3 linked regions of the Tamandua tetradactyla genome follow. The protein of the gene in region 2 interacts with the protein of the main gene of each other region in a pairwise test. Links are inferred from orthologs where the notes say so. Each region holds a gene or a part of one and is shown on either strand. Other genes may lie near its edges.

Region 1 (7,014 bases), on a different chromosome or scaffold from region 2:
GGCTGCTGTGGTAAATGTTTTCAGTATTGTTTCCTCTAGGAGTTTTTTAAAAAGTCAATTAATGAATAATTGTCTTCAAAAACACATTATTATGCAACTACACATATATGCGCATATCCATATATATGCCACCTCTCAAAACCTTCTCCCTTCAGAGGTGACAAGTTCCAGCCACCTGGGACCACCTGTTTCCGCCCTCTGGCATCCACCCGGCACCTGCAAAGAGAGGTTTGCTTTCTTTCAAGAGCGGCCACCCACCTGGCTGATGCCATTCAGAAAAGACAAAACAAAAAAACACACGTGCCAGTTCTCACGCTTTGCTGCTCGTAAGAATCACTGGAAATGATTAAAAATACTTATATGGAGTCTCATTCCATGCTCAGAACTTTTAATTTTTCAAGGGAAAATGACTTTTCTAAAGTTTAATAGCCTGTAGACATACCCTAAAGCAAATCTATGGGACAAATGTGTAACTTAAGTTACATATTGTCTTTAAAAGTATAACTTTCCTGATAATAAAAATAAAAATCTTTCATTGGGACATTTTGAGAGAAGCAAAGTCTACAACAAAATGCATGAATTTCACCAGACAGAGAAAACTTCTGTCACCTATCAGTACATGTTTTAACAGTCTTTGGGCTACACATACACTTTAGTCTATTTTAATTTTACTCTTTCCACGGAACTGAATCATATTTATTTTAAAACCTATTTTCACCTAAGTATATTTCATGACAGTTCCTCCATATTATTATTCTAAAACACAAATGTTCATAGCTGCATAGTACTCTTATTTTCTGTATAAATCATCAAAATTCATTAGCCGTTTGAGATGGGACTGGACGGGGTGGGACGAGACTGGATGGGACTGGATGGGGCGTGGCTGGAGGGGGCGGGGCCTGGTGAAGTGTGGCTGGCGTGGCGTGGGGGGGGAGTGGTGGGCGTAGCAGATGGGGCAGAGCGCGGCAGGGCTGGATGGGGCGTGGCGGGGGAGTGGTGGGTGTGGCTGGATGGGATGGGGTGGGTGGGGTGCGTCGGGGCGGGGCGGGATCACAGGCCGGATGACCATGCTGGCCGGGCTCTGCCTTTTTGCTGTCTTTTCCCATGGATTTAATTGAACCTCCCAGACAAATCGTAAATTTGCAAACTATAACTATAAAAGCTATAAAATGTTATTTACTGTCACGTCCCACTTCCCCTCACCTTCAGGTTCTTGGGAATGTTGTGCATGACGGACGACATCCGTTTGGCTGAAGAAAACTACCAAGTTTTAGTCGTTTTCCCCCAATCCAGGCTTTAATCAACATGTTCAGCCAGACGCACTTCCGGGTTGTGACTCGCACTTGTACGAAAGTGGCAGCCCCCTGGGCCCCACCTGTCGGTCGGCCAGGTAAATGTCCCTCCCTCACCTGACGCGCAGAGGAAAGCGCGCGCCTTGCTTCCGCGCGTGCCCAAGGCACGGCAGGGCGCCCGGACCCCAAGGCTGCACAGATTTTAGGGCTCATCTGGTCTAGTCTTACAGGCCACGAAACTGACGCAAATAAATGGACGTGGACAGCTGACATATACAAAAAACGGTAAACACACCAGCCAAAAACAAGTGTTTAAGAGCTGAATACAAGCAGATATCTTTTCTAGACTGAAGGAATGCTCAGGCGAGGCGAGGCTTGCCCTTCCCTTCCCATACACATCTTAGTGCAAGGAAGAGCTCTGGGGCGGGCCACGGTGGCCCGGGTTCGATTCCCGGTGCCTGCCCATGTAAAAAAAGAGAAAGAAAAGAAAGAGCTCTGTCCCGCTGGGGAAAGTCTGGAACCTGCTGGGGCAGGTTAAAGGGAGCAGGAGGGGAGTGACCCTAAGGCCCCGACAGAAAGCCCCTTTCGGCCGCGCGCACACCTACTTCCCTATGCGCGCGCGCGCACACACGCCCCTGGCCCTCTGCCGCCCCTGGCCCTCTGCCGCCCCTCCTAGTCCTGACAAGGCAAGGACCTGGGACCTGTCCTGGGACACCCAGCGCTCACCTCCCTCCTGGTGTGTGTCTCCTGCACGCTCGCGTCCTGAACTGCACACCCGGCCCGACCGCAGTATCTCTATATGTTCTTGAAAAGCACCTGTATATCTCACTGGAGGCCGCATTCACAGCACACTCACAGTTTCCTTATTACCCTCCTTTAGAGTTTTAATAAAACTTGCCCATATTTAGGTAGCTTTAACCCAAGTCTTACCTTTTCCTGGCTTTCATCAGATAATACCTTCTCATATTTGATACCAATGTCTTTGATTGAAGTTTACTTTAATCACATCACAAGAATGGCTTTGACTGGAGTATTTACACAATGCTAGTGTTAATTCGCTTGAAATACTTAGGGATAATGCTTGCCCTCACATTTTGAAAGTTTCTGAAACTCAGAATAAAGCTGCTGGATGCATTTTTTTTTCTCATTTGATGCATCCTTTTCCCTCTTTAGGGAGTAGAGGATCATAAATAATCTCTCCATTATTTACTTGAGAGGAAGTTCTAAGGTCGCTCCTGGCTTTAATATGCTGCCTTGTCTGTTATTTCATTTTCTTAAATATTGAGAATAATTAAGGGCAAATGCTATACTATTTTCTTATTATGTTTTTATGGGGTTTTCTTTCCCAAATATAGAATTGGGTGAAAATTGGGGAATGAAAAAATATGTGAGGGTTTCCAGTAGCTCATCTTATTTTCAAATGTCCCTTTGCCCTTTGCTGCCTGCTGGGCAGTGTCTTCTGCCTGGCGCACCTTTGAATCTTGGAGTTCAAAGAAGTGTTTTCTTTTTTCTTTCTTTTCTATTTTTTTCTATGTCCTTCTCTTCACAAGGAAGCCAGAAGTGTGACAGAAAGGTGTGATTTTTAATTTACACCAGAGCCTCACAAATAATGACTTTTCACACCCTGCTACAGCTGCTTAGCCAGGAGAGGAGTTGTGTGGTTGCTGTTGTGTAGCAAATTAAATCCACTGCTGTAATTCAGAAAAAAAACTCTTCTGTATTTAACCCTTGTTTTTAACTTTTCAGCTGGGTGTTTGTGAATACTTATGAGAGTGTGGGTTATTCCTTTGAACTGTACTTGTTACTTTGAAGCATACCTGTTACAAGATTTCTAGGAAATGATTTTTGAAGGCTGTTACCTTGTCATACTGTCAAGTATGAAATGATAAACATGTTTTCGTTTTCCATCATTGTAACCATGACGTTGGAAATGGAAACTTATTTAAATACACAGAGGTGAAAAATACAATAACAGTGATTTTTAAAACTTCTAGCAATGACATTTAAATATGTGCACTAATAAACATTTTTTCTCTTTCCTATCTCACTTCTCCAAACATAGTTTTTTCCTCAGTCTTTATAAAAAGTGTTTTGCTGTACAAGTGAATGTCTATCATTTAGATTGCAGGATGAAATTGAAAAGTTATGTTGAAAGATTTAAATGTTTTATGTTTTTCAGTTTCCCCCCAGTCTCTTAAACCCTTCTAAAAACAAGTAATGAGCTGCCTAAAGGAAATGGAAAAAAATATTGTATTATTGCTTGAAATTTTCTAAGTATATGCAGAACAGTATCATGCAAAAATAAGTGGACAAAGAATATATTTTGCAAATTCTGTATACATTGCTTTCATTTAGGCAACAATTAAAGTACCTAATGATTTTCTGCTTTGAATCTTCCCAGATGAACAAATAAAAAGTTTTCCAGCAATGTGCTCGCTTTTCCCAGTTATCTTGCCAATCCTAAGAGTGTTCAATAAAGGTCTAGAACTGAAGGGAATATGGAAGAGAGGATAGAAACATTCAGAGTCTCCTAAAAACTTTAGTGCCTGTTGCCCCCTCTTGCTAAAGGGAAGCCAGAGAAGCCGATGTCAGCTCTTCTCCTGCAGCAGCTGCCAAGGGTTAAGCAGCTGGCTGACTGTCTCCTTCAGGCTTTTCTCGGATCCTCCCTCCCCTGCACACCCTTTTGTGAATGTCAGCCACTTCCTGAGAGCCCTGCAGTGGTGAATTTCACACTTTTCTTTCTCTGTGAAGAAACCTGGTGCGAGTGGTGCGGGACTGGATGCCTTGCAGGGCTGTGGCTGCCGGTTAGTGAAGCTGAGGGATGCCTGTGGGGAAGAAGCGAGGAAATTTGAGAAATAGGAGGTGGAAATAGGCTAAAATCAGCCTTCGTTTTTAACTGAGTATTTGCTCTATGAGCCAGCAACTTTGTGTATTATAAAAATAGTCATTTTGAAGACCCTTAAAATTGAGAGTTTGCAAGAGTCTGGCAAAGGAGGGAACTGAAAAAGAGAGCTGACCGCTGGGAAAACGTGAGAGAAGACAGAGGAGAAGGGAAGACTGAAGACTCCCCCCCTGGCCTGGTGTCCACTCTGCGGGTGGAGTGGCAGGAGGCTGCGATGGAAACGTGGTCAGTTGATCAAGTCTGCAGTTGGCTGGTGGAGAAAAGCTTGGGAGAGCTGGTTCACAGGTTTCAAGGTGAGCTGCTTACACTTAGAAAGACACGAGTTATGGGGCCTCCCAGACATTCTGAGTGTCCTCTGTTGTTGAATGTTGATTTCACTGCCTCGTGTGTGTGTATGTACGCGTGTGCACTTGTGCATTTGGATGTGGCGTCCGGACAGGAGGAAACTTCCATTTCTTTATTTATAGCAGGAGTTTCAATTTGAGCCTCCACAGGAATATAAGAACTTTCAAGCAGTTAGATAAACTCCTAAGTTATTTAAAAGACAAGTGGTAAGTGCGTTTGAATTGCTTTTATTCTTTGACGAGGCAGCACTATTTTTTGTGTAGTGTTGAAGTCCTACTACTAAGAACAGTGGCCCACACTTTCTTTCCTCGGAAAACCACTGCCTGTTATGAAGACGGGGGTGGGGGTGGCGGCTGAGGCGGCGGTGGGCTTCCCATCACAGCCGGGTCGGGTTAGGGTTAGGGTTAGGGTTAGGGCACCTCCGCGGAGGAGGCGCGGATATATATATTTTCTTTTTCCCAGAGGAAGAAGTGAGTGGGGCTGCTCTGCTAGCTCTTAATGACCGGATGGTTCAGCAATTGGTGAAGAAGATTGGGCATCAGGCAGTTCTGATGGATCTGGTGAAAAAACACAGGCACAACAGCGCGGGTATGCGGGGGCCGCCACGCCCTGGAGCACCGGCTCGGCCGTGGACGGTGGCCTGGGGGTGAGTGCCCTGTCCGGGGGTGAGTGTCCTGCCCTGGGTGAGTGTCCTGCCTGCCCCGGGGTGAGTGCCCGGCCCTGGGGTGAGTGCCCTGCCTGCCCGGGGGTGAGTGTCCTGTCCGGGGGCAGTGCTCTGCCCAGGGGTGAGTGTCCTGCCCAGGGTGAGTGCCCTATCCCGGGGGGAGTGCTCTGCCCAGGGTGAGTGTCCTGCCCAGGGTGAGTGCCCTGCCTGCCCGGGGGTGAGTGCCCGGCCCTGGGGTGAGTGCCCTGCCTGCCCGGGGTGAGTGTCCTATCCCGGGGGGAGTGCTCTGCCCAGGGTGAGTGCCCTGCCTGCCCGCAGCATGGTGCCCGGCCTCAGACCCCATGAACAGCCACAGCTATTTACTGCTGGGTTGCAGATTCAGGACACTTTAGCAACGTTTTATGAATCGAGACACGGTGTGTATTTGGAAGGATGGGGGACTTTTAAAAATCCCTCACTCGATGCACACCGGCCCCAGCTCCTGGGGTAGCCAGCAGCAGGTGGGTCTTCTCTGCCCGGCCCCAGCTCCTGGGGTAGCCAGCAGCAGGTGGGTCTTCTCTGCCCAGCTGGGGACAGGCATGGGAGATGGGCAGAAATGACCCCGGGGGGGGGGGGGGGGAATACAACTCGGGGCTGGGAAAGGCATCTTCGGCTGCTTCTTTGATTTTCCCAAAGCTGTTTATTTATTTACTAAATGGTTAGTTAGCTGGTGGTTGCCAAGGATTCCCTGTGGTAACTAATTTATACTCTCTAGAGATCTCCACAATGTAATTTGCTAAACGCTCTTGCCACGATGGGCTTCAGTTTGCTCCCGGTATCCCTGGAATACTAAGCACTAGGGCAGGTGCCACAGAGATCACACCGAGAAGTCTGTGGCAGCAGAGAAAAGCTATGAGGTTTGGAGGTGTCTTCTGTTTGTTTGCTTTTTATCATTGATTTCTGCAGTGAAAAGGAATGCTAGTAGGAAATAAAAAATTAAAAATTTCATCTTACAAAACCCCGGGATCATCCCAAGCATTCTGCAGGATTTCTAAGGTTAGATCATTGCCGTAGACAAATCTTTTAAAAATAATACTTGAGATTTGGTGAAATCCAGTCTACTTTTATTTTAAATTTTAAAGCTTATATCTGTGGTGATGTTTATTTTTCTCTTTCTCTTTGATGAACAATACGATGTTGGAAAGCTGGGTTTAAGTAATTTCATTTCTAGGATGCTTGGATAATTGGGACATGGAGGGGGCAGGTAGGATAGAAGGATTGGATTGGGGGTGAGCAAATTTCTTTTTTCTGGAATCTGATTTATTTGAAGGACTTCTCCTAAACTCTGCTTTGGCATAGCTACATAAAAACACACTCTTCAACATGAAGTTTTGGTGAAGTTCCTGTTGCACGCTTTCGCCCCTTCCCCACCACGGAAGGGAGAGGACTTCAAAGAGAACTCAGAATAATTTCCCGGCATCGCTGGACGAGTAGGCGTCAGAGCCGGGAGTCCCGTTCAGCGGCTGGAATCTTCATAGCGCCTTAGGCAGCGCTTGGAAGCAAACCAGCAGCCTTGTTTCCGCTGCACATCAGTTTATGATGTTCTCTAGTAAATAAAATCGCGCCTGATGCCGGGAAATCTGGGCCTCAGTCCTGGTTGTACCACTGCTGTGGCTTGGTCATGTTGAATGGCCGCGTCCCTGGTTCTTTACCTGCAGCTTGTGAAAAGCAGCCGGGCTCCTACGGCCCAGGCCTCCCCCTGCTGTGAGGGGCACCATCCCCTTCGGGCAGGACTCCCCGTCCTCTCCCAGACCAGGACAGTCCTATGTGAA
Region 2 (7,412 bases):
AGGGAATCAATGTTTTCTTATGAAAACTAAGTTCAAAACACTGTAATTTTCTTACCTCTCCTGATTTCCACTGGATTAGCACCTTTACTAATCTTCTCAAAGCCCTCCTTGGCAATAGAGCGTGCCAGGACAGTAGCAGTGGTGGTACCATCCCCAGCCTCTTCGTTTGTGTTATTTGCAACATCTTGAACAAGTTTAGCACCAATATTTTTATATTTATCCTTCAAGTCAATTGACTTTGCAACGGTCACACCATCTTTTGTTACTTTGGGACTTCCCCAACTCTGTTCAATAATCACTGTTCTTCCCTAAAATCGCAAAGAATAAAAGGTGAGAGGATCACAAACTGCAGAGGCTTAGACAATGAACAGTTTCATAATACAGGAACTACTTGAAAGCCTCAACATAAGTTGTATCATTTTTAACAGGGCTATAGCAAGAAACTCAAGGGCAAATTCCTCCATGTTCTTAGTTTACAGACAAAATGACCTCTCTGTTGCTCAGTCAAGTGCATAACTTTGGATGAGGTACTATGGGAGATAATTCTAGGGACCAGATGTCATCTTTCAAAACAAATAAGTACAGGATAACCAACACCAAGTTAGTAGATAACAATGATAGTATTCTTCAAAACATTTATACCTTAGTTTTAGTTAGTGACTGCTATCTTTTAAAATGATGACATTTCAAAATCTAATTACTAACATACCGAGTCAGCCAGGAGCAATGTGTTCTTCCAAGTTTCTTCAATATTAAACCTCAAGCATGATGCAACAAGATTGGCAGCTTTTGGATTTAAGCCAGTAAAAACTGCTCCTTTTACATGGGGAATGCAAGTGTCGTATTTTATGCAGTTGTTTGGATCACTTTAATATTTGAATTATCTTCAATATGAAATGAAGGCTACCTGCAATCACTTATTATCTGCACTCACCAATAACTTCAGCGTGAACAAGATTTAGAATTTTAAATGCCCTTTGGAACAGCAGGAAAAAACTGGGTACAACTAGTCCCTGTAAGTGTATACTTGAGGTATTATGGTAGAAAAGTTACACTCTTCTTTCTATAATTAGCATTCTTCCTGGGAAAATCCAAAATTTAACTCAAGCTAGCAAGCAAGATTAGTTCTCTGGGGCGGTGCAACGATGGCTCAGCGGGAATTCTCGCCTGCCAAGCGGGAGAACGGAGACCCAAGTTCGATTCGCGGTGCCTGCCCAAGCACAAAAAAAAAAAAACGAACGAAAAGAAAAATACTGAGCTGAGCTAACACTTCATTACATTGTACATTTGCACAAAATATAGTTTTGAAAATTGGGTTGAAGAGCTTAAGACATTTTAGCTAAGAAAAAAAGTCATCAAAAAACTGGAACTTTTATATGTGAGATTTTTTTCAACGAATACCAAAGTATTCAGTACTTCATGACTTCCCATCAGTAGAACATTATTCCTTAATTAATGTTATAACTATAATAAAACACTGGTACCTTTGGCCCCATAGTAACGGCTACAGCATCGGCTAAAAGGTCTACACCTTGAAGCATTAAGGCTCGGGCATCTGCACCAAATTTTACATCTTTGGCATAAGCCCGAGTGAGATGAGGAGCCAATGCCCTGGACACTGGCCTTATCTGGCGAAGGACTGCGGGTAATCGAAGCATTTCTAGGAGAGAAAACAAGCAGATGATCAGTACTAACACTACATCACTACATGAGTGTGTTGCAGCAAACAACACGCTACCTGTGCAATAAAACATGAAACATTAAGTGTGAGCTGGGAAGACACCCGCCAGCCATGCTGCCTGAGCCACGGTTAGAGCACACTACCTACTAGCTTAAAGGGTGAAGCCGCCCCAACGTCCGACCGATACCACCAGCGCACAACACATTCATCTCATTCCGAACAGCTACCCACACATGCCTAAAAACTAACTCGCTTTTCACCGTTAAAACTGCCCCGAAGGCAAATGCACCCCAAATAAGCCCCTGGAAAACAAAGTCTGCAGGAGAAGGGCAGGTTACAAATCCAAGTGACCATGGAAGCGAAAAATATTCCTGGCAGGGCAAAGGACCTCTCAAGCGTAAGTATCTCCATGTATCCACCCGAGGCTACAGTATCTGAGAACCAAAAAGGCCGCGATGCTGGGGGCAGACAGTCCATCCCACCCCGCGCGGCCCCACGTCTCTCATCAGGACGCCCCCAGCAAGGTCAAGGGTGTAGACGCTGTACCCATGCTGACCGCGAGGCAAAAAGCGATTTCCACGCGGCTACGACCACCCTCTCCCGCGCGTTGCAGTTAACCCAAAGCGAGTTGCACCGAGGGCCCACGAAACTAAAACTCCCTAAATTCCACCCGCCAACTAGGCCCTCCCTGGAGTCCCGCACTCCATGCCCCACGTGATGGGATCCCGCATGGGCCCTCGTGGCCTGGCCTAGCAGGCCTGGGCCTGCAGCGCCATCGGGAAGCCCTTGCTCTTTCCCAACACCTGACTCAGGCCGGGCCGCAGCCGTAAAAGCCTGGCTAAGAAACCAGAGTCGGCAAGATGAGGCGGCACGGGCCGGCAGGATACCTGCGGGGCAAAGGCCGGGCGGGCAGACGGAGAGGCAGGCCGTCAGCGGCGAGTGAGGGACAGAACGCAGAACGCACACGGCAATGAGCCCGTGTCCCCTCCCTCCGCGCCCCTCCCGCTCCGCAGCACCGCATGTGCAGCCGGCTCCCGCCCCCTAGCCCGGCGGAGGCCCTGCAATCAGCACGCGCTATACGTGGGCCCCGCCCATCCCTACCCGCTAAAGCCAGATCAGGGGGCTCAGCCCTCTCGAGCCGGCTTAGGCTTGTTCCCAGGCCAAACAGCGTTCCAGAACTTTCCGGAAAGCGCCGCGCTCTCCGCGCGGGTCAAGGGTTAAATTGCGTCATTTCCGGGAGGGGCGAAGGGATAATTCTTTTACCTCGGCAGGCAGCCTAGAAAAGCCTAGAAATAGCTCCTCTTTTCTTCTGCCCTCCTGTCCGCGCGTCAGCGACCTGCGCAGCATTCTCGGACGAATCACGGCCCGCGTTGTGCGCCCGCCCTCTCTCGCAGGACGGGGCGTCGGAGGCCGAGCGCGCTTGCGCGTTGGACATCTTTTCTCCACGTTCTCGTATTCCTAGGGTCGGGCCGTGGTTCCTCTCCTTGCGGCGGTGGTGGCGCGGGAGCAGAGTACGAGTTAAGGCAACCGGAGCCATGGTGGGTCCCGCGTAGGCTGGAGTTCTGTGGTCCCGGTCGGTTCGAAGAGCTCGGTAGCCAGTACCGTGGCTTGGGCTCTGGCCAGAGGGGTAGGGGTCATTCGGTGTCCTTCCCTCGCTTGCACCCTGGACTGTCACGGTGCCCAAGACTAGGGTCGAGAGCGAAGGATCCGCCGACCTTTTCTTCCTCCGTGGGCTCTTCGCATGAGTGTCCTGGTGCGACACGCGTGCGGTACAGGGGGCGGGAACGGGGACGCACGTGCGGCGGCTGACTTTTCCTGCGGGGCCTTTGCGGGTGTGTAAACCCTTGGAAAAAGAGCGTGGTCTTAGAAGGAGGGTTTACTCCATGGCCTGAGCATTTCTAGAAAAATATAAATAAGGAAAATATCTGACCTTGGAGTAACAAGGTTGCTTTTTAATGCCAATCTGGCCAAAGGAGCAACAGCGACCTTTAATTATATAGAGAATGGGGAATTAACGTAGAATGTAGGCCCGAACACTCAAATGTGTTCTCGAATTAAGAATGTGAATTATGGTGTTAATCTTTTAAAACTGTGGTTCCTGTTTGAGATGCAATGGTTACTGTGGTTTTGTTTGTTCAGAATATAATTACGTATAGTTTCTGCCGCAAGTTTAAATTTTTTTTCCCTGCAGGCGGGACAGGCATTTAGAAAGTTTCTTCCCCTCTTGGACCGAGTATTGGTTGAAAGGTGTGCGGCCGAAACTGTAAGCAAAGGAGGCATTATGCTTCCAGAAAAATCTCAAGGAAAAGTATTGCAAGGAACAGTAGTAGCTGTTGGATCGGGATCTAAAGGAAAGGTAAATGAGGGTTGAAAGTGCATTAATTTTTGCTGACTAACATTGGAATTGCCGTACTATTTTAACGCCTTGGGGCCACAGTTGGCTTACCTTATGAAAGGAACGGGTTGGATTATCCTTTCAGATATTTTTCAGTTTTCTGGCTCAACTTCAGACCTGTCAGCCACAATACACACAGTAAATGTCTTTTGGGTCAAATAAGTTAAATGCGATGTTCTGGTTAACTCTTAGAAGTTACTTGCAAAGAACTGTCTGGAGTTAGGAGTAGGGAGGTTCTGGGTACTCTCTGCTTTAGTCCCTTTTACTGAATATATAATATTCGAAGAGAGGAAGTAGAATAACAAAAAAGGATTGTATATTCTAAATATAGAAAAGTTCTTTTAAACTTTTGTATGTTGTAATTGATCGTTTTGCTGCATATGGTTATAAAAACTGTTTCATTTGGCAGCCCATAGGCTACTAACATAGTACAGTATTTGGCAATTATAAAGTTATCTTTAATTGCTAAAGCTAGCTCTCCCAATTTAATTTAGTTTAAGCTACTGTAAGGTTTATTTCAAATTATAACTCTACACTTAATATTTATGACTTAAGCCACTTCATTATATCACTTGGCCATTAAATGCATTTTTAGCATTTGATTTGAGTGAACATGTGATTAATTTAAAGCGTAAATGTTTGCTGAACTCCATGTCTTTGCTCATAAATGTCCTTCTGTTTAGGGTGGAGAGATTCAACCAGTTAGTGTGAAGGTTGGAGATAAAGTTCTTCTCCCAGAATATGGAGGCACCAAAGTAGTTCTAGGTGACAAGGTGTGTAACATAAAGTAACTTTTAAAAGAGGTTAAATATTTGCTGTTAACTGTCTTAACTTAATGATTTTTCTGTTTGCAGGATTATTTCTTATTTAGAGATGCTGATATTCTTGGGAAGTATGTAGAGTGAAATAGCTCAGTATTGAAATGGCATCATGTGACGCTCCCCATTCCACCGAAGTTCTGAAATCTTCCATCATGTAAATAATTTTCATCTCTCTCTTTTATAATAAACTAATGGTAATCCAATGTCTCTTAAATTTAATTTCACTGTACTGATAGAAACATTTCCAAATAAAAATATATAAATGAATGCCTAGTGTGTATTTATTTATTTAGTGAGTTCTCTAAAGTAACCCACAGATAATTTTGGGAAATGAGGTTTGTATGTTGATGTATATTCACATTGATTTTAGCTTTATTACATAAATGATCTATGCTGGTACAAAGTCAAGGGTTTACACTTACCTGCAGTTTAAGAATTGAAAAATCAAGTAGCCATATTTTGCCTTTCAAACAATCAGTTTATAGTGGTCAAGTAGAGTTCTTCATTCATGGTAGAAAAATGTAGTTCCTGACATAAGCATTTCCGGTTTTCAAGACTATTTCATAATGAGGGGAAAATCCAAGGCAAAATATTGCTAATCTTTCAACCGACCTGTTTTAGTCTCCTAGCTGCTGAAACAATTACCATACAATGTGCTGTCTACATGTCTAGATGGTTTGCTTCCTCCCTGGGTGGGTATCTTCTAGCAGGCTGGCAACCTTGGGGTTCCTTTTCTGTCATGTGGTAATGCATACAGTGGCACCTTTCTCCTCTGGGTTCCCTTGACTTAAGTTTCTGGCTGTATCCTGGGTTTCTTTCTTTGTCATTTCCTTTGCTTATGAGGATTTCAGATGTACTGGATAAAGATTCATGCTGATTCAAAGTTCCTACTTATAAAAAAAAGTGGGTTCACACCCATAAGACTAGGGATTAGGACCTGATCATGCCTTTGGGGGTAGGGTGTGTGTGTCACAATTTAGTCATCCTCAGAGCTAGGTATTATTTACTTTTTGCAGTTGAAGAAGAGTGGTGTTGAGTAATATGGGAAGTGACAGGATTTGAAGATAGGTTGCCCACCTCCAGATGCTGCTGTATAAAAATCAATACTTCAGAATGTCTGCCATATTGTCAGACTGTCCTTTGCACTTGATGCACTTTAGTTGATTCAGGTGATCACTAGTGGTGTGGGTGATGGGTGGTACCTAATAGTGCCTGGCAATTAGTAGATATTTAGTATCAGATTTAATATGGAAACCCTGACATGGTTGAAGTTTGGTCTAGGTGTAGCAGCTATGGGAAAGAGAATTTGAACCCAGATAATTTTCCACCAGAGTGGATTTCCAGCCCCTCAACTTGACCACATCAGCAGCTATTTCTGTCTTAATCAAACCTGTTTTCTTGTTTTAGTTCTTTATGAACTATTTTGTCATAACACATTTTGAACGTTCTTTCCTATCTATGTTGAGAAGAATTGAAGGTGTGGATGAAGTTAACATTAACTAGTGGTCTCAACTTTTGACCAGGTATCCTATCACTAAAAAAATATGTAACTTAATGTGTGTACATTATATATTATGTGCCTATGTGCCGTCCAGTGTATTAAGGCTTAGTTTTTTTTGCATTTAGAAACAAGTATGACAAAGCTCTTTTTTCTTACAGCAGCAATTTCCTGCTGTACTCCAGGCACAGCCAAATAATGTTTTGTACATAATCTTGGGAGCACAGATTGTTGACTAGTGAGAAAACTTGAGAATGAAGAAATTTGTTCAAGGCCATGTGGCTCCTAAATTGCAATGGGAATCTAGTCTAAAGGCCGTGATTTTTCTTTGCGCACCTCAATGCTGCAGATTACAAATGAGATTTGTGATCTAAGATAATAGTTCCCAAACTTTGATTCATCATTGAAATTAGGTGGTGTACTGAGAAGAAAAAAAAAAAAAAGACTTTAGGGCCCCATCAGATCCAAGACATACTAAAGCAAAACAAAAATGAAAGAATTTTTGAATTTTTGTAGGACACAAATAGTTCTACTTCTGTGATACCTGTCTAGCAGAGTTGCTGAAGAAGTAATTTTAAATTGTAAGATTATATTGAGAAAATAAGGAAAAGAGTTTTAGCAATAGTACTTGAGAAAATTAGGCCAAAAAATAAGGGTATTCTACGTGTGAACTTCAAGATTCAGTAAAGTATGTGTGGTTTACCTTTCGTTCCTATTGAAACAAAATTTTGAAGAAGAAAGATGAATAAAAATAAGATTCCAAATGGATGATATGATTAGGTTCATGTGTCACCTTGGCCAGGTGATGGTCCCCAGCTGTCTGGTCAAACATGCACTCACCTAATTATTAGTGCAAGGACATTTTGTGCTAGTTTATTAAATCATCAGCATGTTGATTGCATTCATGTCTGATTACATCTGCAGTTGACCAAGGAGAGTGTCTTCTAGAATCAGTGCCATTTAATCTAATTAGCTGAAGGCTTTAAAGGAGAAGGCAGAAGAGAGAAATGTTCTCTC
Region 3 (7,392 bases), on a different chromosome or scaffold from region 2:
AAACAAAATCAAGCCAGAACCGCTGCTCTGCCTTGACCAAACATGAATATGGAGTGGGAGGTGTTAAAAATTAAACTTGCCTCTTTCTGGTACCACCGTCAAATCTACAATTGCTCAAGCTTTTACCGAGTTCCTGAGCCAATGATGGAATTTTTCCATCGTTGGAAAACCGTGCCTGGGAAACAAGCCGGAACACACTCCAATATTTCTAGTCCCTTTCTCCAGAAAGAGGCTCAGAAAAGTTGAGTGATTTTCCTGAGACCACACAACAATTCAGATTGCAGTGGTCCTGGAGTTCACACCCGTTCTGACGTCCTGCCTGTAAACATGTTGTGATGAAGCTGACACAGATAAACAGGAAACGGCCCTGCTTGTTCCCCAGGCTCCCACTGAGCTGTTTTCTCCTCCTTGCTGTCAGTCTGGGTCTAAACAGCAGCAATTGACCTTAGTAGTATTTTATCTCTAGGGGACTCCTTTTCTCACACCTGATATCAATTTTGTTTCAGGGAAATTCAGCAGGGTAGTAGCAACTGCAGAGTTGCTGCTACATCTGCCCCTGCCCAGAATGAGGAAATCCCCATAAAAAGAGAAAAAATAATAAAGGTCGGTGGAGATGAACAAGCTGCTTAAGGCAGTTTTGTCCACAGAGACAAAGATACCGTCCAGCTTTCCCAATGAAAGCAACGTGGGGTGGTGGGATGAATGAAGGGTGGGAGAATGAATGGAACCAGCAGTTTCCACTTTGGCCTGCAACTATGAGACGGAGACTAGGGAAGTTTCCAAGGTTGCCTCTCATAGACCCCTATCTGGTCAAGGAATCAGACTTTGCTGGCCAGACTCATTCAGAACAAGCCAGAATGAGGGTGAAGTCTGCAGCAGGAGGCTCAACCCCTCTATACAAGAGCATCAATGGACCCTGTTCCCTTCACCATCTCACTTAAAACAGGAACGGCACCTCTTGATGACAGAGTAGGCTCAGGGGTGATATCTGGGAAAGATACCAGGGTTCCCTGGGCCTGGTTAAAATACAAGCTTCCTATGCAGAGACTATCCAAAGGAACTCATCTTTTAGAACTAAGGTTAGTTCCAAACCTCTGAAAAGGCAGCAGCAGAACCAAAGACCACATTTGAAAAACTAGCACAATTTTTTAAAAGTACACACAACAAAAAGTCAGCTGTCTCCCTTCGTGCCGCTCGCCAAGGAATACAGACAAGTAACATATATAGGTAAGAGCACACTCACCTGCGCCCCAGTGGCTTCTTGACTCTGAGTTGCTCAGGCCAAATGAGGAATGTCATTGGCTTATTCTGGGGAACTCCTTAGTGGCTGCTGCCATAGGATACAGGCTTTATTTAATGTAACCTAGTCCTTTCCACTCCCCTAGCCCAGACCCTGCACCCCCTCCAGAGAAAAATCTCTCTGAGGCATCAGTTTCCAAGCCATCTAAGTTCCTTTCTTGGGCTGACATCTCTCTCAGCCCCTTCGTGAGCCAGCTTGAGAAGCCTGAGCCTGCAGTCCCTGTGGCAGCACCAGCAAAGGTGCATTATTTATTCTGGCTGCTGTTTTAATTGATATATATATCAATTAAAATTATATACATATAATATTCACAGCTCAGCAATTGTCTCAGCAACCTCAGGCCAGAAAATAAACGACTCCCAGCTGCATATGAAAGCTCCTTTGGGTTCTGGTTCTAGCTGCCAGCTCAGCATGTGTGCAACTTGAACTGAGGCCCCAAACCTACCGAAGCTCCACTCGCGCCACCTGTCAGTTCTCCACCCTGAGGGTTGGAGCTACGACAGGCAGGCAGGGATCTCTAAGCACTGGCTTAACCTCTGGCTCCACCTAATGGTAAGAAATCCACTGCCCCCTTTCACAGATGGACAAACTGAGCTCCAGGAAGGCCTTCAAAGATCCCAGAGGGAGGAAACTAATTCAGCAACCGAAACTGACCATCACCTGCTTTGCCTCCCACACTGCAATTTTCTCCCATTGCTATCCTACAGGAGGGAAAGTGATGTCAACTTTTTAGTTAGCATCCTGGATTTCTCCAGCCCTTTGTCTGGAACAGCACTTCACACACATTATTCAAACAATCTTCTCAGATGGGTGAGTCACTAGAAACGTCTGCTGAATAATGGGGAACAAACATAGAGGCCTGAAATGCAGCTGAAAGACAGAGGTTCCAATGGTACCTGCATCCACCCAGGGTTCTAACCCAACATCCGCTCATCCTCTCTGACCTTAGTCTCCTTTTCCCATCACTTTTATCCTGTCAGAGCACTTCCACGAGGGTTGGGGAAAGCTAAGTCGCTGGCTGAGCTTTCCAGGGGAGGGTCTGAGCTCACCTTTAAATCAGGAGGCTTGCTTCGGGGACCCGGGTTGGGCGCCGCGGCAGCACCCACATCTGAAGTTGGTCCGCCAGCGGAGTTAGCACCCGTGCCCTCCCCAGGACGGAGGTCTGCGCCCGGCAGGTGGCAAGCAGCATCTTCCAGCCCAGCTCCATCCTCCTCGCACTGTTGTTGCTGAAGCTCGTCGGATTTGCACCTCTTCATGGTGTATGTGGGTCGGCAAGGGGAATCTGTCCTTCCAGCGCGCCGGCTTGGGGGAAGACCGCACCCCCTCTTACTCTCAGAAATGAGGCCGGGGGTTTAAATTATTAGCAAGGGCGTGGGTGGGAGTGTAATTTTTTAAATTAAAAAAATATATATTAAAAAAGAGGATGTGGAAGGGGCGAGGAAAGGGAGCCTTGGTTACAGCTTGGAATAGTTCACTACGACCTGAGGAGTAGCAGACAGGTCACAATCGAGGCTGGGCAGCAGGAGTCCTTGGGCAGTCATTGGCGGGGGAGGGGCAAGACTGCCCCCGACCCCCAAACTTTCTGCTTCAGGCATGGACAGGGCGGGTGGGTGCTGTGCTGCACAGCGCATCCCTCCCGGCGGGCCAAGCTGCTGGGCGAGGCAGAGCATGGGACAGTCAGCCAGGCAGGTCCTCGTCCGCCGCTCTCTGAGCCAGCTGCAGTCCCGGCCTCGCCGCGCGCCCCCACCCCGCCCCGCCCCGGCCGGCCGCGGAGCCCGCAACGCGCCCGGCCCCCTCCCCCTCCCCCTCCCCCTCCCGCCCAGCAGCCCGCCGCGAAGCCGCGGCCCGCGCCAGAGCCGGGCGGCGAGCGCGCAACCTACCCCGCCCCTCCGTCTGCCTCCGCCGGGGCGGAGGGGGGGGAGGGGGGAAGGAGAGACAAGGAGGGAGTGACAACGGCAACGAGCCAATGGGAAGCCCGAAGGGCTGCGGGCGCGTCTCTCGCCGACGTTTGTAGGATTGGTTGCACTGTGAGATTTCCCCTGGAGAGATCTGGAGGGCGATGCTGCTGCGTTTTAGCATTGCGGAGAGCGGGCTGCGGAGTAGGGGCGGGGGCGGTGGGCGATGGCCGCGCGATTTTAGCAGCTGCTTGAGGGACCCTCTCCGAGAGGGCACTCATGGGATTCCCCCCACCCACTCATTTTACATGGCGTAGAGGAGGCACAACAGGGATGTGTATCATCACTGCCCTTTTTTTGCTCTAACTTTGCACGTTAGATTATATACATCCCTTCAATAAGAAAGAAACTGAGCCCCTCGCGTGCACTTGACCTGAGTACATTTTGAGCTGCAAATGCAACGGGAGGAAGGTGTTCTTCTGCCCCTTCTCCCCTCCCCCCACTTTAGTACTTATCCCAAATGATTCATTGCTTATCTTTATGCTCAGATATTGGAAAATGCTTCTTAAACACAATAATGTATGTAAGCGTTCCTTGCAAACCGTAAAGCATCATTTAAATAAGAAAGGGTTATTCATGGCAGGAGGTCTAAACATTTGGAAGAGTGGGAAAGGAATGTCTCTTTTTCTGTAAGCCTCTGTCAAACTGTGCTGAGCAACCAGTAGGCAGAAGAAAGCAAGTGCTGGGCTTATCACGACAGGGAACCTAGTAATAATAGCCCCACCCAAGTGCCTGCTGCACGCCTATTGTGGCAAGATGGGTTTTGCCCACCCAGCAGCCTAGACCAGTGGGTCTAAGGGTCGTCCCCCGACTGACTGGCAGCACCTCAGGTTTGATGGAAATGAAAACTATCAGGGACCACCCAGATTTACTGAATCAGAAATAGTGGGCTCAGAAAGCTCTTAAGCCCTCCAGATGTCATGCTGATGCACGCTAAAATTTGGGGACCGTTGGCCTAAACTGTGGTGAAGGGACCACTCAGACTGAAGGGACCACTGGATCTCTGAGTCACAGTGATGATGTCTAAAGAATTTTACAGTTTACCGATCTCTTTCATGCCATTCCAGTCTCACTTCAGTTCTGCTAGTCTTGAGTTTCCTGGCTTTCAATTCTGTCTTCTTCCGGCTCCAAACACTCATATTAATGTGTATCTTATGAGGGACTAAATGGTTAAGAATTTACTTCAGAAAGGCAGCTACCTTCTAAACCAGGCAGCTACATTTTTAGAAAATAGAAATTTAGGATGGGCTGGGATTGTAGAACCCCCCCCAACCCCCCACCCCAGTACCAAGCACAATGTAGAAACACAAAGCTCTGTGCTTTCTACATTTTCTGTGGTGAGGAAAAGGCAAAATGCCAGTGTTGACAGTGGCGGGATTTAGGACTAGCCCCCCCCAACCCCCCCAACCCTCACCCCACCCCCACCCCGCTTCCACCCCAGGCAGGTCTTGAATAGCAGGCAGTGGCCAGCACGTGGTGAGCACGTGTTAGCACATGTTCAAGACCTGACTCTAAATTGAAGAAAATGGATGGAATTAGGCTTGAATTTTTAAAGATGCAGAGACCATTATCATTTTGAATCATTCCTCATTTCTCTGCTACACTGAATTTGACTTTAAGTTTGATTTTAATATTTTCATATACACATGGCATGATGGCCAAATTTCCAATTTGTGGTCATATTTAGCAAGGTGTGATGCACCTCCACAAAAAAGTCTGGTGTGTTCCCTGAAATCAGCTAATACTTGACTTCCATTTTGGATAGGCAGTGTAACATAATGTTTCAAAGTTCAGATTCTGTAGTAACAATGTTTGGGGACAAATCCTGGTTCTTCTATCCCAGATCATGTGTCTGGGGGCAAGTTATCTAATCTTTTTAGATCCTAGTTTCCTGAGGGAAATGACAGTACCTAGCTCAGAGGGTGTTGGGTGATATATAGATAAAGCACTTAGAACATTGCCTGGCATAGACTGAGGCCTATAGTTATTATCGCAGTTGTCATCTAGCTTCAAAAGGGCTCCACGTTCCACTCTAATAGTTCTATCCGTGAGAATTCAGATGCGTCCCACACATTTCCGACTTTCACTGAGTATCACTTATTGAACAAATATGTTGCTGTCAAAGATGTTTGAGTGGGAAGTCTGTGTAGAGACCTGTGTGACCTACAATTTGCAGATTTGCAATGCAAGAGATGATGTTCAGCATGTAGAAATAAATAGCATTCTCCATTTTGTTTTTGGCAGAACTAGTTAATCACAGATAAATAGCATGGTGTAGTGGGAAGAATACTGGTCTTGGTGTCAGAAAAATTCATGTAAGAATTCTGGTACTGTTTCTTCTGGTGTGTTCTTGGACAACCAAATGATTGAACTTCTGTCAACTTTGGCTTTCTTATCTAGAAATAGGTGCTAATAATACCTAACCCCATGGAGTTTTCGGGAGGATTAAACTAGATAATGCATGTGAAAACGCTTAACACATGGCCCACCATAGAGTTACTTGATAGAATGTGCTCACATAATACACGGTCAGTAAACCTGAATGAAAGAAATCATTAACAAACTTGCCCAGGCCTCCTGTCGCCACGCAAGAAAAGCAGAATTATGCCACAAAGCTTACTGCTTTTTGTGAACGGAGATCCAAGTTAGGCTAATGAAAGCTCCCCTCCCCCAAACCAGTACATCAATAAACAAGAAGATAAAGAGCAGGGTTAAAGAATCCAGCTCCCTGTCAAAAGCCCGTTCATAAAATTTGATAAACTGATGAAGTGTTATTATAGAGGATAAGGTGCCAAGAGCAACTGTATAAGGTAGATTTTTTTTTTCCGTTTTGTAAAAGCAGTCAAGTCTCAGAAGCAGACTCTCTTTTTGCCAATAGCAAGAGGCTTGTAGATTATCTCAAGATTTTTTTTGTCCTCTGTAGGAATTTTTAAAAAAAAAACAAAGACGTGTTTTAAATATCAAATGAGTAGATAGAGAGCTATTTTAAGATTTAACATACTGTGTACAGTGCTTGGAAGTTACAAGTATTCTCTAGAGGAACTAGATATAATAATTTTGACCACTGTATTTTAATACTAACATCATTATAAATATTCCTTTGTTAATGTCACTTTATTCTCTTTCTGCTGGAGATTCCCACATCCATTCAAAGCTCTCCCTAAAAGAAACTGGGTTCCCTTGAATCAGAAGGAGTAAACTATGTAAATGATCACCAAGGAGATTGGCTGGATTGTTGCTGACATCACAATCCCACCACCTAAATTCGAGCTTATTATTGGCTTTTATAAGAAGCAGGGAGGGGGCGGCTAGGAAGACTCTGCATCACTCCTGAGGTGGAGAAAGGTCTGCGCTGCTAAAGATTTATCAGTTGTCTGGGTGGTGGCCGATCATCTTCAGTGATTCCACATCAGTATCTAGCATGGAACTTTCTGGCCCCTAAAATGACTTCATTTATTATTCTAGAACCTAGGATTTTATTTTCCAATCTAAAAATGTATTTGCTATTTTATCAGGAGAGAATGCAGGTGGCGATATCAGGTAGGGAATGTGGGAGTTCTTCTAAACCATCTGGAGGATTTTTCAGCTGCTTTCATGTTTGGCATAAATTGTTTTTTTTCTTCCCTGAGCAACCATAAACCTAAATTGTGCTGCTTATAAAGGTTATTGCTGTTTTTGTTATCATCCATCCTTTTCACTGTTAAGTATCCAGAAACCTCATAAAAGTAATACATATTCTTCAAAGAATATTTGAAAAACTCAGAAAAGTTAAAAAATGAAAATAAGCTCTGTCCAAATATAAACAATGTTTACATTCTTGAGAGGTCGTTCTGTTCTTTAAATAGGTGGAGTTTTAAAAAATAGAACTGTAATCTAAATATAGAATTGTATATTTTATTGTCTTATTTAAAATAAATGCATTTTCCATATATTATTACTTTTTCCATATGTTATTATGTCAGACATATTTTAATATGTATAAGTAAACATTTTTGATGACTTCTTAATATTATATCAAGCGAATATATCATGGTTTATTTCACCACTATTCACCTTATTCTTAGATGCTTGGTTGTTTCAATTTTTTTGCTTTTAGAAATATCTCAATTACTATATTTATGCTTAAATTTTATATAT

The links.
Region 1: the proteins of HSPD1 (region 2) and SAMD3 interact in binary tests that used the Homo sapiens proteins (3 or more experiments, as listed by UniProt). The two-hybrid records come from large-scale screens. The link is inferred for Tamandua tetradactyla from reciprocal best matches to the Homo sapiens genes HSPD1 and SAMD3.
Region 3: the proteins of HSPD1 (region 2) and TMCC2 interact in a two-hybrid assay, tested with the Homo sapiens proteins (2 studies listed by BioGRID). The two-hybrid records come from large-scale screens. The link is inferred for Tamandua tetradactyla from reciprocal best matches to the Homo sapiens genes HSPD1 and TMCC2.

The regions. Positions count from the first base shown.
Region 1 is NC_135331.1:191,690,614-191,697,627, reverse strand, and holds the start of SAMD3 (sterile alpha motif domain-containing protein 3), read left to right. Parts: upstream 1-4,009; 5' UTR 4,010-4,408; coding exon 4,409-4,487; intron 4,488-5,001; coding exon 5,002-5,185; intron 5,186-7,014.
Region 2 is NC_135329.1:171,757,440-171,764,851, forward strand, and holds the start of HSPD1 (60 kDa heat shock protein, mitochondrial), read right to left. Parts: upstream 3,061-7,412; 5' UTR 2,945-3,060; exon of another isoform or gene 2,924-2,944; intron 2,916-2,923; exon of another isoform or gene 2,783-2,915; intron 2,701-2,782; exon of another isoform or gene 2,569-2,700; intron 1,661-2,568; 5' UTR 1,659-1,660; coding exon 1,485-1,658; intron 309-1,484; coding exon 56-308; intron 1-55. Other genes in the region: HSPE1 (10 kDa heat shock protein, mitochondrial), read left to right, coding at 3,217-3,219, 3,873-4,037, 4,760-4,849, 4,931-4,981. UniProt on the Homo sapiens protein: Chaperonin implicated in mitochondrial protein import and macromolecular assembly. Together with Hsp10, facilitates the correct folding of imported proteins.
Region 3 is NC_135330.1:62,986,037-62,993,428, reverse strand, and holds the start of TMCC2 (transmembrane and coiled-coil domains protein 2), read right to left. Parts: upstream 3,010-7,392; 5' UTR 2,557-3,009; coding exon 2,350-2,556; intron 2,326-2,349; exon of another isoform or gene 1,244-2,325; intron 1-1,243.